Macaca mulatta: one gene and its partners. The protein of the gene in region 1 purifies or fractionates together with the protein of each later gene. This does not show direct contact. Links are inferred from orthologs where the notes say so. Each region holds a gene or a part of one and is shown on either strand. Other genes may lie near its edges. The genes, in order: PLN, ATP2A1 and ATP2A2.

Region 1 (4,150 bases):
AGTTGAATTATTGAACACTACAGAATCTAAACACCATAAACCATACGGTTTCTCTGTAAAAGTAAATGTTGGGTTCTAACTGGTCAGGCCTGATACCTACCTTCCCCTTTGCCATTCTTTCAGTACTTCCTTCTGTTCCCTTCAGCACTTTCCTCTCTCAGGAATGGGCTAACAGGTTGAGAGAGGCTTTTATGAGATGTATAAAAAGACTTAGGAGAAAATAAAATCTGACAGTTGGGGTAAGGTAGTAATATGTTGATTAACAATAATATATCAACAAATGTTAACAGTCACTATGTCTGGCAATTAATTATAACTTTTTTACTCCATTTTTTATTTTTCTTATTTCAAAATTGATGCAGAAGTATCCTGATTGAAAACAAAATGTCCCCCAAGTGTTAATAACCATTATCTCTGGACAGTTAATACAGTTAATTTTCAGTCTATATATAATTTTTCTGTAATAGCATGTAAGTTCTTATTTGTTTTATTAATCATCAAAGTATAGACCCCACAGGCAGCAATAGCTTGTGGTATCTCTGAAAGAAGGCATGATGGAAACTACTGCTATTAAGTAGAGGTCTGTAAATAGAAAATGTCTGTGGTAGATGGTGAGATAATAATAATTACTACGCATTCCAAGCTTGATAGTCTTCAGTACTTAAAATCAAATCTTATTAAAATGTTAGTTAAGATAACATTCTATAAAGCTATAAAATCATAAAAAGGAATGACAATTTCAATCCGTATTTTTGGTAAAACACTTCCCATTTAACACTATTTTATTTTGGATTAAAATCAAGATCCAGGGAACAATTTGTTGTATGCATTTCCTTTTTATGAGATTGGCTCTGGAGCTATTAATACAGTAACTGATCAAACCAATTACATCTACAGTGTAACAGATTTAAAGAAACTATATGTGAGAACTTTTACCCAAAAGAATAACCCAAAACGAGCTGTACCTTAAACCAAATACAGCAGGTCCTCAAATAACATCATTTCCTTCTATGTCATTTTGTTATAACATTTAAGTATGTGTGCAGCTTGAATGTTCTCTCCATATCTGTGAGACTCTCGTTTCCTCCCATATCCCAAAACTGTGCACATTAGGTTCACTGGCGTGTTTAAGTTGTCCTGGGTTGAGTGTGAGTGTGTAGATGAGTGTATCCTGTGATGGAGTGGTCTCCTATCCAAGGTGGGTTCCTCCCTCCTTGACTGCTGGGATTGGCTCCAGCCACCAGCACCCCAAACCAGAATAAGAGGGTTGAAAAATGAATGAACGGATGAATACAAATTATTATCAAATAAAAACTGGTAAAGTCTAGGGTGATCATACAAATGCATGACAATAAATGCTATGGCACAAAAGCACTCAGAGATCCCATTGTATTTCTCAAACATTGATTCCATGTTTTTAATTGACCAACACAACCACTGTTACTCACTGATTCACGAAATACTGGGTAATTATCTTTGTTGGCTTTTTTTTTGAGACAGAGTTTTGCTGTGTCACCCAGGCTGGAGTACAGTGGCATGATCTGGGCTCACTGCAACCCCTGCCTCCTGGGCTCCAGCGATCCTCCCAAGTAGCTAGGATTACAGGCACATGCCACCAGCCTAGCTAATTTTTATATTTTTAGTAGAGACAGGGTTTCACCATGTTGGCCAGGCTGGTCTCAAACTCCTGGCCTCAGGGGATCTGCCCGCCTTGGCCTCCCAAAGTGCTGGGATTACAGGCGTGAGCCACTGCACCCGGCCTATCTGGTTTTTATTAATCTTTCTTAAATGTACATATAATTCATATTTCTCTCAACGTTTAATATTAGAAGTGTTTGGGTCTTTATTGAGAAGTTTGGTGATGTTCTTGTGACCAGAAATGTGCTATAGGAACTTACCTCTTATTTACATCAATCAGCCTAGGGTAAAAATGGTTTTGTTATATGTTGTTTTGCATAAAGTCTTGGTTTCCAGGAACTTATGGATGACACTGAGGATTACTGCAATACTTGTAGTAAATTTGGGAGAAAAAGGCAAAGACTGAAGTTACTACTCCTAACACAAATGAGACTGTCATGTTGTGCCCCATCAAAAAAGGAGAAAGAGAGACACATGGAAACACATGCGCACACACACACACACACACACACATACACACACACACACACACACACAGAGAGAGACAGAGAGAGAGAGACTATAGAAACACTTGATGTTATAAATAACAATAGTGCTGAGGAAGATGAATTAATACAACATTGTATTTTTTGTCCTGATAATAGGTTACATATATTATTCTAATCTATTTATTATTTTTACATTCCAGGCTACCTAAAAGAAGACAGTTATCTCATATTTGGCTACCAGCTTTTTATCTTTCTCTCAATCACTTAAAACTTCAGACTTCCTCTCCTGCTGGTATCATGGAGAAAGTCCAATACCTCACTCGCTCAGCTATAAGAAGAGCCTCAACCATTGAAATGCCTCAACAAGCACGTCAAAATCTACAGAATCTATTTATCAATTTCTGTCTCATCTTAATATGTCTCTTGCTGATCTGTATCATCGTGATGCTTCTCTGAAGTTCTGCTACAACCTCTAGATCTGCAACTTGCCACATCAGCTTAAAATCTGTCATCCCATGCAGACGGGAAAACAATACTGTAAAACAGACCACTTCCTGAGTAGAAGAGTTTCTTTGTGAAAAGGTCAAGATTAAGACTAAAACTTATTGTTAGCAAATGTATTCATCTGCTGGATCTTGTAAACATGAAAAGGGCTTTATTTTCAAAAATTAACTTTAAAATAAGTGTATAAAATGTAACTGTTGATTTCCTCAACATGGCTCACAAATTTGTATCCCAAATCTTTTCTGAAGATGAAATAAGAGTTTAGTTTTGAAACTGCACTGCCAACAAGTTCACTTCATATATAAAGCATTATCTTTACTCTTTTGAGGTGAATATAACTTATATTACACTGTAAAAGCTTCTTTAATACTGTTTTTCAAGTCTTCACCAAGTATCAAAGTAATAACACAAATGAAGTGTCATTATTCAAAACAGTCCACTGACTCCTCACATCTGTTATCTTATTATAAAGAACTCTGTAGTAACTCTTTGTAGTAACATTCTAAAACAGAAATTGCATTTTTGCTATGCCACATTAACATTTTTTAAAGTTGATGAGAATCAAGTATGGAAAAGTAAGGCCATACTCTTACATAATAAAATTACTCTTAAGTAATTTTTTCAAAGAATCACAGAATTCTAGTACCTGTAGGTAAACCATAAATCTGTTCTAAGACATATGATCAACAGATGAGAACTGGGGGTTAATATGTAACAGTGAGATTAGTCATATCACTAATATACTAACAGAATAGAATCTAATCTTCATTTAAGACACTGTAGTGAATTATCTGACCTAGAGTTACCTAGTTTACCACGCTGTATCTTTTGAATCATGAAACCTTAAGACTTCAGACTGATTTTACAGGTTGTCTTCCATTCCAACCTAACATCCAATGCAGGCAAGGAAAATAATACAAGATTTCCAGTGACAAAAAAAAATATTATCTCAAGTATTTAAAAAAATAAAAATATGAATTCTCTCTCCAAATATTAACTAATTCTTAGATTATATTTTGAAATGAACTTGTTGGCCCATCTATTACATCTACAGCTGACCCTTGAATATGGGGGTTAGGGGAGCTGACAATCCATGGGTCTGCAAAATCTTAACTACCTAATAGCCTACTGTTGACCATAAACCTTACTGATAACATAAACAGTAAATTAACACATATTTTGCATGTTATATGTATTATACACTGTATTCCTACAATAAAGTAAGCTAGAGAAAAGAAAATGTTATTTAGAACATTGTAAAAAAGAGAAAATATATTTACTATTCATTAAATGGAAGTGGGTTAACATAAAAGTCGTCATTCTCATTGTCTTCACATTGAGAGGAGGAAGAGAAGGAGAAAGACGGGGAGGAAGAGCAGGGGTTGGTCTTGCAATCTTGTCTTAGGGGTGTGGAGAGTGGGGAAAAAGAATATTCATGTATAAGTGGACCCTCGCTATTCAAGCCCTTGTTGTTCAAGGGTCAACTGTAACAGGAGATAGCTATTTTTCTTCATCTATCA
Region 2 (4,947 bases), on another chromosome or scaffold:
GCCTGGGCAACAAGAGTGAGACCTTGTCTCTATTAAACAAACAAACAAACAAACAAACAATAATGGTCCCTAAAGATACCAGATCCTAATCCCTGGAGCCTGTAAATGTTACCTTACTTGGAAAAGGGGTCTTTGGGCCGGGCGTGGTGGCTCATGCCTGTAACCCCAGCACTTTGGGAGGCCAAGGCAGGTGGATTGCTTGAGCCCAGAGTTCGAGACCAGCCTGGCCAACATGGTGAAACCTCGTCTCTGCTGAAAACACAAAAATTAGCCGGGCCTGGTGGCGTGCACCTGTAATCCCAGCTACTTGGGAGGCAGAGGCAGGAGAATCACTTGAACCCAGGAGGAAGAGGTTGCACTGAGCCGAGATTGTGCCACTGCACTCCAGCCTGGGTGACAGTGAGAGACTCGATCTCAAAAAAAAAAAAAAAAAAAAAAAAAAAGGCCGGGCACAGTGGCTCACGCCTGTAATCCCAGCACTTTGGGAGGCCGAGGCGGGCAGATCACGAGGTCAGGAGATTGAGACCATCCTGGCTAACAGAGTGAAACCCCGTCTCTACTAAAAATACAAAAAAATTAGCCAGGCGTGGTGGCGTGTGCCTGTAGTCCCAGCTGCTGGGGAGGCTGAGGCAGGAGAATGGCATGAACCCGGGAGGCGGAGCTTACAGTGAGCCGAGATCATACCACTGCACTCCAGCCTGAGTGACAGAGCAAGACTCTGTCTCAAAAAACAAAAAAGAAAAAAATAAAAAAAAGAAAGAAAGAAAGAAAAGGAGTCTTTGCAGATGGGATTGCAAATGGGAGGAGAAAAGAAAGGCTTTCGTACCTTCGGGGATGGCAGCCACAGCCAAGGCCACAGCAATCTTAAAGTAGTAGATGGCCCCACGGATCCAGGAGCCCCCATGGACAGGGTCGTTGAAGTGGCCAATGTTGATGAGCCAGACAGCCACACAGATGAGGGAGATGACCTTGGAGAGCTGCTCCCCAAACTCATCCAGCTTCTGCTGCAAAGGGGTCTTGTCCTGTTCTGTGGCAGCCATTTGGTCTCGGATCTTCCCAATCTCAGTGCCCACGCCGGTGGTGGCCACAATGCCCAAGGCCTTGCCAGCTGCAATGTTGGTGCCCTGGGAAGGGAAAGAGAAGGCAGGGAATCAGGCAAGAGGTGACCTTCATGCCGCATTCCCCCACGCCATCTCTTCTCACACCGCCATGTTTCTCTCCAACCCGGGCACCTGGCTTGACTAAGCGTGTGACAGCTGGTCCCAGATTGCTCACCGAGAAAAGCATGTTCTTCTTGTCCTGGTTGACAGCTCGGGGGTCAGGAACGGGCTCCGTGTGCTTGATGACAGATACAGACTCGCCTGTGGAGAAGGGGCCAAGGGGTTTTCAGATGACATCATGTCCTTCTCCCAGGCTTCCCACGCCTAACTCCCTGCTCAGCAGGACAGCTCCTGGTAAGGACCAAGTAACCATCCTGGGGGATGTCTGGACTCTGGAAGAAGCCACTGAAGGCAGCTAGGAAGTCCATTGCTCCTTTTTTTTTTTTTTTTTTTTTTTTGAGACAGAGTTTCGATTTTGTTACCCAGGCTGGAGTGCAGTGTCAAGATCTCAGCTCACTGCAACCTCTGCCTCCCAGGTTCAGGCAATTCTCCTGCCTCAGCCTCCCAAGTAGCTGGGATTACAGGCACATGCCATCACACTTGCCTAATTTTTTTTTGTATTTTTAGTAGAGACGGGGTCTCACCATGTTGGCCAGGCTGGTCTCGAACTCCTGACCTCAAGTGATCTGCCCACCTCAGCCTCCCAAAGTGCTGGGATTACAGGTCACCGTGCCCGGCCAGAAGTCTACTGCTCTTAAAAAGACCTTGAGCCGGGCGCGGTGGCTCAAGCCTGTAATGCCAGCACTTTGGGAGGCCGAGATGGGTGGATCACGAGGTCAGGAGATCGAGACCATCCTGGCTAACACGGTGAAACCCCGTCTCTACTAAAAAATACAAAAAACTAGCCGGGCGAGGTGGCGGGCGCCTGTAGTCCCAGCTACTTGGGAGGCTAAGGCAGGAGAATGGCGTAAACCCCGGAGGCGGAGCTTGCAGTGAGCTGAGATCCGGCCACTGCACTCCAGCCTGGGCGACAGAGCAAGACTCCATCTCAAAAAAAAAAAAAAAAAAAAAAGACCCGAGCCCGGCTTGACCACTAACAAGCTGTGTGACTAATCACCTAACTTCCATGTGCTCCTCTGTAAAATGGGGACAAGGACATGTACACTGCAAAACAATATATTGGGTAAAAATCAAATAAGTGGACATATTTGGAACCACACTTTCAACTGTCAAGCATGTTTCTGGGAGGAAGGGGGACCCACCCTTAGAACCATGCCTCCCTCACCCTAAGAGCAGGGACTCAGCAGCAGGCCTGGGCCAGCCTAGCCCTTGACCCCTGGGACCATGGGGAATGTTTTCTGCCTCTTCTTCGCTTCTCCCTGCCAGTGCAGAAACAGAAGCAGCTATGGTGGTTTTATAGAGACAGGGTCTTGCTCTGTTGCCCAGGCTAGAATGCAGTGGTGTGATCATAACTCACTACAACCTCAAACTCTTGGGCTCAAGTGATCCTCCCACCTCAGCCTCCCAAACAACTGGGACTACAGGTGTGCAGTACAATGCCCAACTAATTAAAGAAAAAAATTTATAGAGATGGGGTCTTGCTCTGTTGTCCATGCTGGACTGCTGTGGTAATCATAGCTCACTGTGGCCTCAAGCTTCTGGGCTTAGGCAATCCTCCCACCTCAGCCTCCCAAGTAGCTGGGACTACAGGTGCACATCACCACACCCAGCTAATTTTTTAAAATTTTTTTATAGAGATGGGGTCTCGCTGTGTTGCCCAGGCTGGTCTCAAACTCCTGACCTCAAGTAATTCTCCTGCCTCAGCCTCCCAAAGCACTGGGATTACAGGTATGAGCCACCACACCCTGCCTAGCAGCCATGGTTTTCAGTGTATCTGAACCCCCTATCTTGTCACAGAATCTCATGTCTCCTCCCTGGAGGATTTTTTAGGAGGCTGAAGGAGACAGGACAGTTCTCGAGGTGTGTGTGACCCTATGTCCATGTGGAAGGGGTAGGCTCGCGGCTATCTAGAGAGTGGGCAACAGCGTCCAGCCTTCTCCCACTACTCATCCCATTTCAGGCTTGGGACAGATGGAAACATCAAGCAGGCTGGGCGCAGTGGGTGGCTCACACCTGTAATCCCAGCACTTTGGGAGGCTGAGGCAGGTAGATCACGAGGTCAGGAGTTCAAGACCAGCCTGGCCAAGATGGTAAAACCCTGTCTCTACTAAAAATACAAAAATTAGCTGAGTGTGATGGTGGACGCCTGTAATCCCAGCTACTCCAGAGGCTGAAGCAGGGAATTGCTTGAATCCGGGAGGCAGAGGTTGCAGTGAGCCGAAACTGTGCCGCTGCCCTCCAGCCTGGGTGACAGAGCAAGACTCCATCTCAAAAAAAAAAAGACTCCATCTCAAAAAAAAAAAAAGAAAACGTGTCAAACAGTGCTGCCACTGCCACAGCCACTGCTAGTGAGCCAGGGGGAGGCCCCAGTGCTGGTTTTTTTTTTTGGCTTTTGCTTTTTTTTTTTTTTTTTTTGAGATGGGGTCTTGCTCTTGTTGCCCAGGCTGGAGTGCAGTGACATGATCTTGGCTCACTGCAGCCTCAGCCTCCTGGGTTCATGCGATTCTACTGCATCAGCCTCCTGAGTAGCTGGGACTACAGGTGCCTGCCACCATGCCTGGCTAATTTTTGTATTTTTTGGTAGAGACAGGGTTTCACCATGTTGGCCAGGCTGGTCTCTAACTCCTGACCTCAGGTGATCCACCCACCTTGGCCTCCCAAAGTGCTGGGATTACAGGCATGAGCCACTTTGCCCAGCCTTTTGTTTGTATTTTGATAGAGACAGGGTTGCCCAGAAAGGAGTGCAGTGGTGTGATCACAGCTCACTGCAGCCTTGACCTCCTGTACCCAGGTGATCCTCCCGCCTCAGCATCCTGAGTAGTCAGGACTATAGGCACTCAACAACATGCCCAGCTAATTTTTAAAAATTTTTTTAGAGACAGGGTCTCTCTATGTTGCTCAGACAGTGAGGGTTCTCTGTCTTTCCACTCACCTCCCCCTTGTTGCCTCTTCCTTCCCACATCCCACCCCCAAGCATCTTCCCACCCAGGCCAGCAGACCTGTCAGGATGGACTGGTCAACCCGCAGGGTGGTGGATTTGATGGCGAGGATTCGGATGTCTGCAGGGACTTTGTCTCCCACTGTGGAGAGAGTAGGGAAGAGGGAGGTCACTTGGGAATGGAATTTTCTTCCTTCCTAAGAAAAACCCAATCTGTGTCTGACTCATTCTCCTCATCCATCCTTCAGGTCTCAGGGAGGCTCCCAGGGCTTGCATCAGGCCCTTGGCATGAGCTCCTGAAGCTGGCAACCACCCATCGTGACACCCATCCCTTCTGCCCCCGTGTCCATGGCGAGCTGGAGTCTCATTCTGTTCTCAGGTTGGTCTTGAATTCCCACATCTCTTCCCACTGGCTGTGAGCCCTGAGAAGGGATGGGCAGGCATACTGCTCAGCACATAATACATGCTAAATAAATGCCCACTGAATGACTAGAGGCGAAATTAAGGACAGTCCAGCTGTAGGACAAGAAGCTAGAATTGAGAATGGGAGACAGGAGTGAGAAAGACAACGAGGAAAGGCAAGGAAAGAACTCAGGGAAAACAGGGTGTGTTAGAGAGAAGGGGTATTGGGGTGAGAGAATGAAGTGGACAGCCAGGGAAGGCAGGGAGAAACGGGAAAATATGGAAATTGAGAAAATCGAGGGCAACCAAGAGAACAGTGGAGGGCAAGGCAGGAGAGGAGTGAGCGGAAGGTATGAGTGGGCAGGACTCAAGGCAGCAGGGGGCGTA
Region 3 (4,947 bases), on another chromosome or scaffold:
GCCAACTTTTGGAGGGCAAGAATTTCACATGACTGTCTGGTTAATTTAAGCTCAGTTTCATGTTAAAGAGGATTCTTTGCATGTTGCGGCAGCTGCAGACAACCCTCCCGAGGGCCAAAGCACCACTGCTTCCATAAGGCATTTCTGTCTTGCCCACTCCCCTCTTCCAACTCAGGCACAAAGACCAAAGCTGCTGCAATCTGGAGAGCAAACTGGGAGAACTGGGCTCCACGACCCATTTAGATAAAGGCATACAGTAAGTGATGCTGTCACAGAGACCTACCAGACAACTTCCCCAACGTTGGACGAGATGAGGTAGCGGATGAACTGTTTCATGTTGTTGTAGATTGCCCGCCCCTCCTCAACGGCAGCCACTATGGTGGAGAAGTTGTCATCCGCCAAGACCATCTCAGAGGCAGTTTTAGCCACCGCAGTGCCAGAGCCCATAGCAATGCCAATCTCAGATTTCTTCAGAGCAGGAGCATCGTTCACGCCATCACCAGTCTGAAAGGGAAAGCAATGGTTGGGTCAGCCAGTTGGCATGGCACACTCACACCCCTGGGCAAAAGCCCACTGAATGGGAACCAGGAGGAAAATGAATAGAGCCGTAGGTCTCTTGACAAAGAGTTATAGAATTTTTGTTTCTTAAGTTGGTGTCACAAAACACATTTTACCTAGGAAATGTAAAATTACCAAATAAGTTTACTGAAGTGGGACAAAGGGGACTTCAAATTTATCTGTATTATCTTACTAAAAACAAAAACAGAACCTATGTGGCAGTCAAGAGGAAGTACTTGTATCCACATGGATAAATTTTAAGTAGAAAGGTGAAGATTGCAAAAATATGCAAATTTTTATGTTTCTGAGATGGAGTCCTACTCTGTCGTCCAGGCTGTAGGGCAGTGGCACACTCTCGGCTCACTGCAGCTTCCGCCTCCTCGGTTCCAGTGGTTCTCCTGCCTCAGTCTCCCAAGTAGCTGGGATTACAGGTGCCCACCACCACACCCAGTAATTTTTTGTATTTTCAGTAGAGACGGGGTTTCACCATGTTGGCCAGGCTGGTGTTGAACTCCTGACCCTAAGTGATTCACCTGCCTTGGTCTCCTAAGTGTTGGGGTTACAGGCGTGAGCCACTGTACTCGGCCAAAAAATATGTCTTCAAAAACATGCAAAAATAATATTGTCTACAGACACAAAACCAGCACTCCCATGTTTTTAATATTTTTGCTGAATTCCAACTTCAGTTACCTCTGGGGGAGAGGAGAGTACACTTACAGTATGTTTCAAAACTAGTATTTTTTTTAAAGAGAAGAAAGTAAATTTAACATAATATATCTGGATGAAAATCAGGTGAGGGGAAGAATACTGGAAATGCTTCATTAACAGCCAGCTCTTAAAGAACATCCAACTTAAAAGCAGGGCAATCCAAACACAAGGTGACAGACTGATTACATCCTCAATTTTTGGAAAACTTAAGATAAAAACACGTCTCCTTTAAAAAAGAGACTAGGATCACCAGATTGTTCCTCTGGGACTGATCTGGAAGGCCCTTCAGGGTTTTAAATGACTCTAGGATCTTCCCTGCAAGTAGCACACAACATGCCAATCACTGATTCACTGAATTCTAGAGAAAATACCCAAATCATGACAAATTCCAAATTAGGGAACTATGACAAAAAAATCCAGTGGTCAAAATTAGAGTTCACTGTGTGCTTGTGTAGCCCGAGTCACCTGTACATGTTCAAACATGCTCACCATAGCTGTAATCTCATCAAAAGACTGAAGAAATTCTACAATTTTAGATTTGTGGGAGGGTTCAACTCGAGCAAAACAGCGGGCGTTCAGGCAGGCATCTCGCTGGGCAGAGGGGTTGAGTTCATCAAACTCCCGGCCTGTGAAAGCTTTTGACGTCACATCCTCATCCTGCCCGAAGATGCCGATGCGGCGACAGATGGCCACAGCAGTGCCCTTGTTGTCCCCAGTGATCATGATGACCCGGATGCCTGCTTGCCGGCACAGCTTCACGGAGGAGGCCACCTCGATTCTTGGAGGATCCAGCATGCCCACGCAGCCAACGAAGGTCAGATTGGTCTAAAATAAGAGCATCACTTTAAATAAAAGTGGCAAATTCTAGGTTTTGTCCCCCAGTTTGAAAAATGCCCAGTTAAACATTGAGACAGGCTTCTGCATTTTCTTTTCTTTTTTTTTTTTCTGAGGCGGAGTTTCACTCTTGTTGCCCAAGCTGGAGTGCCATGGCACAATCTCAGCTCACGGCAACCTCCGCCTCCCGGGTTCAAGCAACTCTCCTGCCTCAGCCTCCAGTGTAGCTGAGACTACAGGTATGCTCCACCACACCTGGCTAATTTTGTATTTTTAGTAGGGACGTGGCTTCTCCATGTTAGTCAGGCTGGTCTCGAACTCAGGTGATGTGCCAGCCTCGGCCTCCCAAAGCGCTGAGATTACAGGTGTGAGCCACTGCGCCTGGCCAGTTTCTGCATTTTCTTTTTTTTTTTTTTTTGAGACGGAGTCTCGCTCTGTAGCCCAGGCTGGAGTGCAGTGGCCAGATCTCAGCTCACTGCAAGCTCCGCCTCCTGGGTTCACGCCATTCTCTGGCCTCAGCCTCCCGAGTAGCTGGGACTACAGGCGCCCGCCACCTCGCCCGGCTAGTTTTTTTTGTATTTCTTAGTAGAGACGGGGTTTCACCGTGTTAGCCAGGATGGTCTTGATCTCCTGACCTCGTGATCCACCCGTCTCAGCCTCCCAAAGTGCTGGATTACAGGCTTGAGCCACCGCGCCCGGCCAGTTTCTGCATTTTCTTATGAGGAAAAAAAAAAACAAACCACTACACTCCTGTTACCAAACCATTCTTTAACTCTTGTGCTATTCTGAGCCCACTATACCAAAGCTTCTTCATTTTGTTCACAGCTTTAGGATGTCACATCCTTGATCTTAAAGAATTCTATTCTAAGCAGAAAAGTGGAAGGAATCTCCAACTTGGACCTTTTGACCTTCAGTAACTAATGAATATTCTAGAAATATCCCCACTTAAAAAAAAATCATGATTTAGATGAGCTGCAAAATGGGGTTTACAAGCTTATTTAAGCTCATCTTGATTATTCTACTTTGAAAATATTCTACTTTGAAAATAACAGACTTTTATGAAATTATTAACTATGTATGTTTGAAGCGGCAATCTAAATTTTAAGGGTGACACAGCTGGCATGGAGAAAAACAAATAACCACACCTCTTTCTTGGCAAAAGTGAGAACTGTTTGACCTTTTGCTTGAAGGAGTACTGTTTAAACACAATGAATCGTGCCGGGTGTGGACAAAGAAACTTTTCATTAGCTAACCTCATATTTAATAAAGTTGGCAGAGTCTTCAAGGTGCATTTCTTCTCTTCTCAGTGGGTTGTCGTGAGTGGCCAGGGCCAGGCATCGCAGGGTGTCGCTGCCACTACCCCACTCTCGAATGACAGACATGATCTTCTGTTTGACTCCAGAGGTCATAGGAACCTTAGTACTTCCAACTCGAATGTGGGTGCACCTGTCAATGACACCTTCAGGAGCACCCTGGAAATGTTACAGATTTAGATCAACAATTTTGTTTTACTGGTTCACCAGGATCTTAACCCTGGTAAGAACATCTCAATTGCAATCTGCCATACTTGCCTTCACAAACATCTTGCTCATTGATGTCCTGCTTGGTTTATTTGGTGTACAATAAACCGACATTGACTTTCTGTCACGTGAAAACTCGAGAGTGAATTCCTTTTTCATCAGCTGTTTAATGACCTACAAAGGGAACAAATATGGAATACTACTGGGTGGCAATTTCTGAACTTTTTTACCTAACAAACAGTAAGCACCTATTACATGACAGATGCTAGGGATATAGCAATAAACAAAATGGACAAGTTTTTGCCCTCATGAAACTTGTCCCCTATTTTAGGGGAGAGAGACTAAGATGCAAAAGTAACACAAGTGCTATGGAGAAAAAGGGAAGGGGGAGAAAATTTGCGTATGTACAGATCATACTGTTACCTAAAGTGGTCAGAAGACAGTGACATTTGAATAAAGATGGCCCCATGGGGCCTGAAAAGATGTGCATGAACCCGTTGGGTGGTGGTGAAAACCCACCAGGCAGAGAACGGGAAGTGCAGCCTGGCAAGTCCTGGAATGGTGAAGGAGTGCCAATGTGGCTGGAACAGAGTTTACATGAGCAAAAGGTGAGACAGGTAATGGCAGAAGACGGTAGAAGCAGGTCATAATACTTCAAAAGTCATTATGGGGCATTTGGCTTTTATGACAAGTAAAAAAGGAAGACAATGGAGGGTCTCAAGCTCTAGTTGTCAAGAATTGGCTGAAGGTGGTCAGGTGCAGTGGATCACCCGAGGTCAGCGGTTTAAGACCAGCCTGGCCAACATGGTGAAACCATCTCTACTAAAATTACAAAAATTAGCCAGGTGTGGTGGCAGGCGCCTATAATCCCAGCTACTCAGGAGGCTGAGGCAGGAGAATCGCTTAAAGCCAGTGGGGGCATAGATTCTAGCGAGACGAGATTGCGCCACTTCACTCCACCCTGGACGAAAGAGCAAACTCCGTCTCAAAACACAAAAGAATTGGCTGAAGGGAGACAAGGAATGCCATTCAGTACAATGACACTGACTTGAACTAGGTAACATCAGAGGTGAAGAGATGGCCCCAAGCAGAGCTGTCCACCAGAACTTCTGAAAGATGGCAGTGCTGTGGCCACTGTTCATGTGGCCGTCACATGTGATGGATAAACACTTTAAGTGAATATGGCTAGGGCACCTAAGGAAGTGTTTTTAGGTATTCTAAGTAGTTTTTTTTTTTTAAAGTATTCTAAGTAGTTTTAGATAGCTAGTGCCTACTGATTATAGTCATGAGACCAGAAGAGATCATGGGAGTAACTATACACAGAAAT

Evidence for each region.
Region 2: the proteins of PLN (region 1) and ATP2A1 purify together in Homo sapiens (affinity purification with western blotting, with the first as the bait; 3 studies listed by BioGRID). This does not show direct contact. The link is inferred for Macaca mulatta from reciprocal best matches to the Homo sapiens genes PLN and ATP2A1.
Region 3: the proteins of PLN (region 1) and ATP2A2 purify together in Homo sapiens (affinity purification with western blotting; 4 studies listed by BioGRID). This does not show direct contact. The link is inferred for Macaca mulatta from reciprocal best matches to the Homo sapiens genes PLN and ATP2A2.

The regions. Positions count from the first base shown.
Region 1 is NC_133409.1:23,531,893-23,536,042, forward strand, and holds PLN (phospholamban), read left to right. Parts: upstream 1-2,342; 5' UTR 2,343-2,423; coding exon 2,424-2,582; 3' UTR 2,583-3,188; downstream 3,189-4,150. UniProt on the Homo sapiens protein: Reversibly inhibits the activity of ATP2A2/SERCA2 in cardiac sarcoplasmic reticulum by decreasing the apparent affinity of the ATPase for Ca(2+).
Region 2 is NC_133425.1:28,052,031-28,056,977, forward strand, and holds part of ATP2A1 (sarcoplasmic/endoplasmic reticulum calcium ATPase 1), read right to left. Parts: intron 4,331-4,947; coding exon of another isoform or gene 4,301-4,330; coding exon 4,220-4,300; intron 1,362-4,219; coding exon 1,276-1,361; intron 1,125-1,275; coding exon 827-1,124; intron 1-826. UniProt on the Homo sapiens protein: Key regulator of striated muscle performance by acting as the major Ca(2+) ATPase responsible for the reuptake of cytosolic Ca(2+) into the sarcoplasmic reticulum.
Region 3 is NC_133416.1:117,503,158-117,508,104, reverse strand, and holds part of ATP2A2 (sarcoplasmic/endoplasmic reticulum calcium ATPase 2), read right to left. Parts: intron 3,795-4,947; coding exon 3,672-3,794; intron 3,573-3,671; coding exon 3,354-3,572; intron 2,092-3,353; coding exon 1,756-2,091; intron 505-1,755; coding exon 284-504; intron 1-283.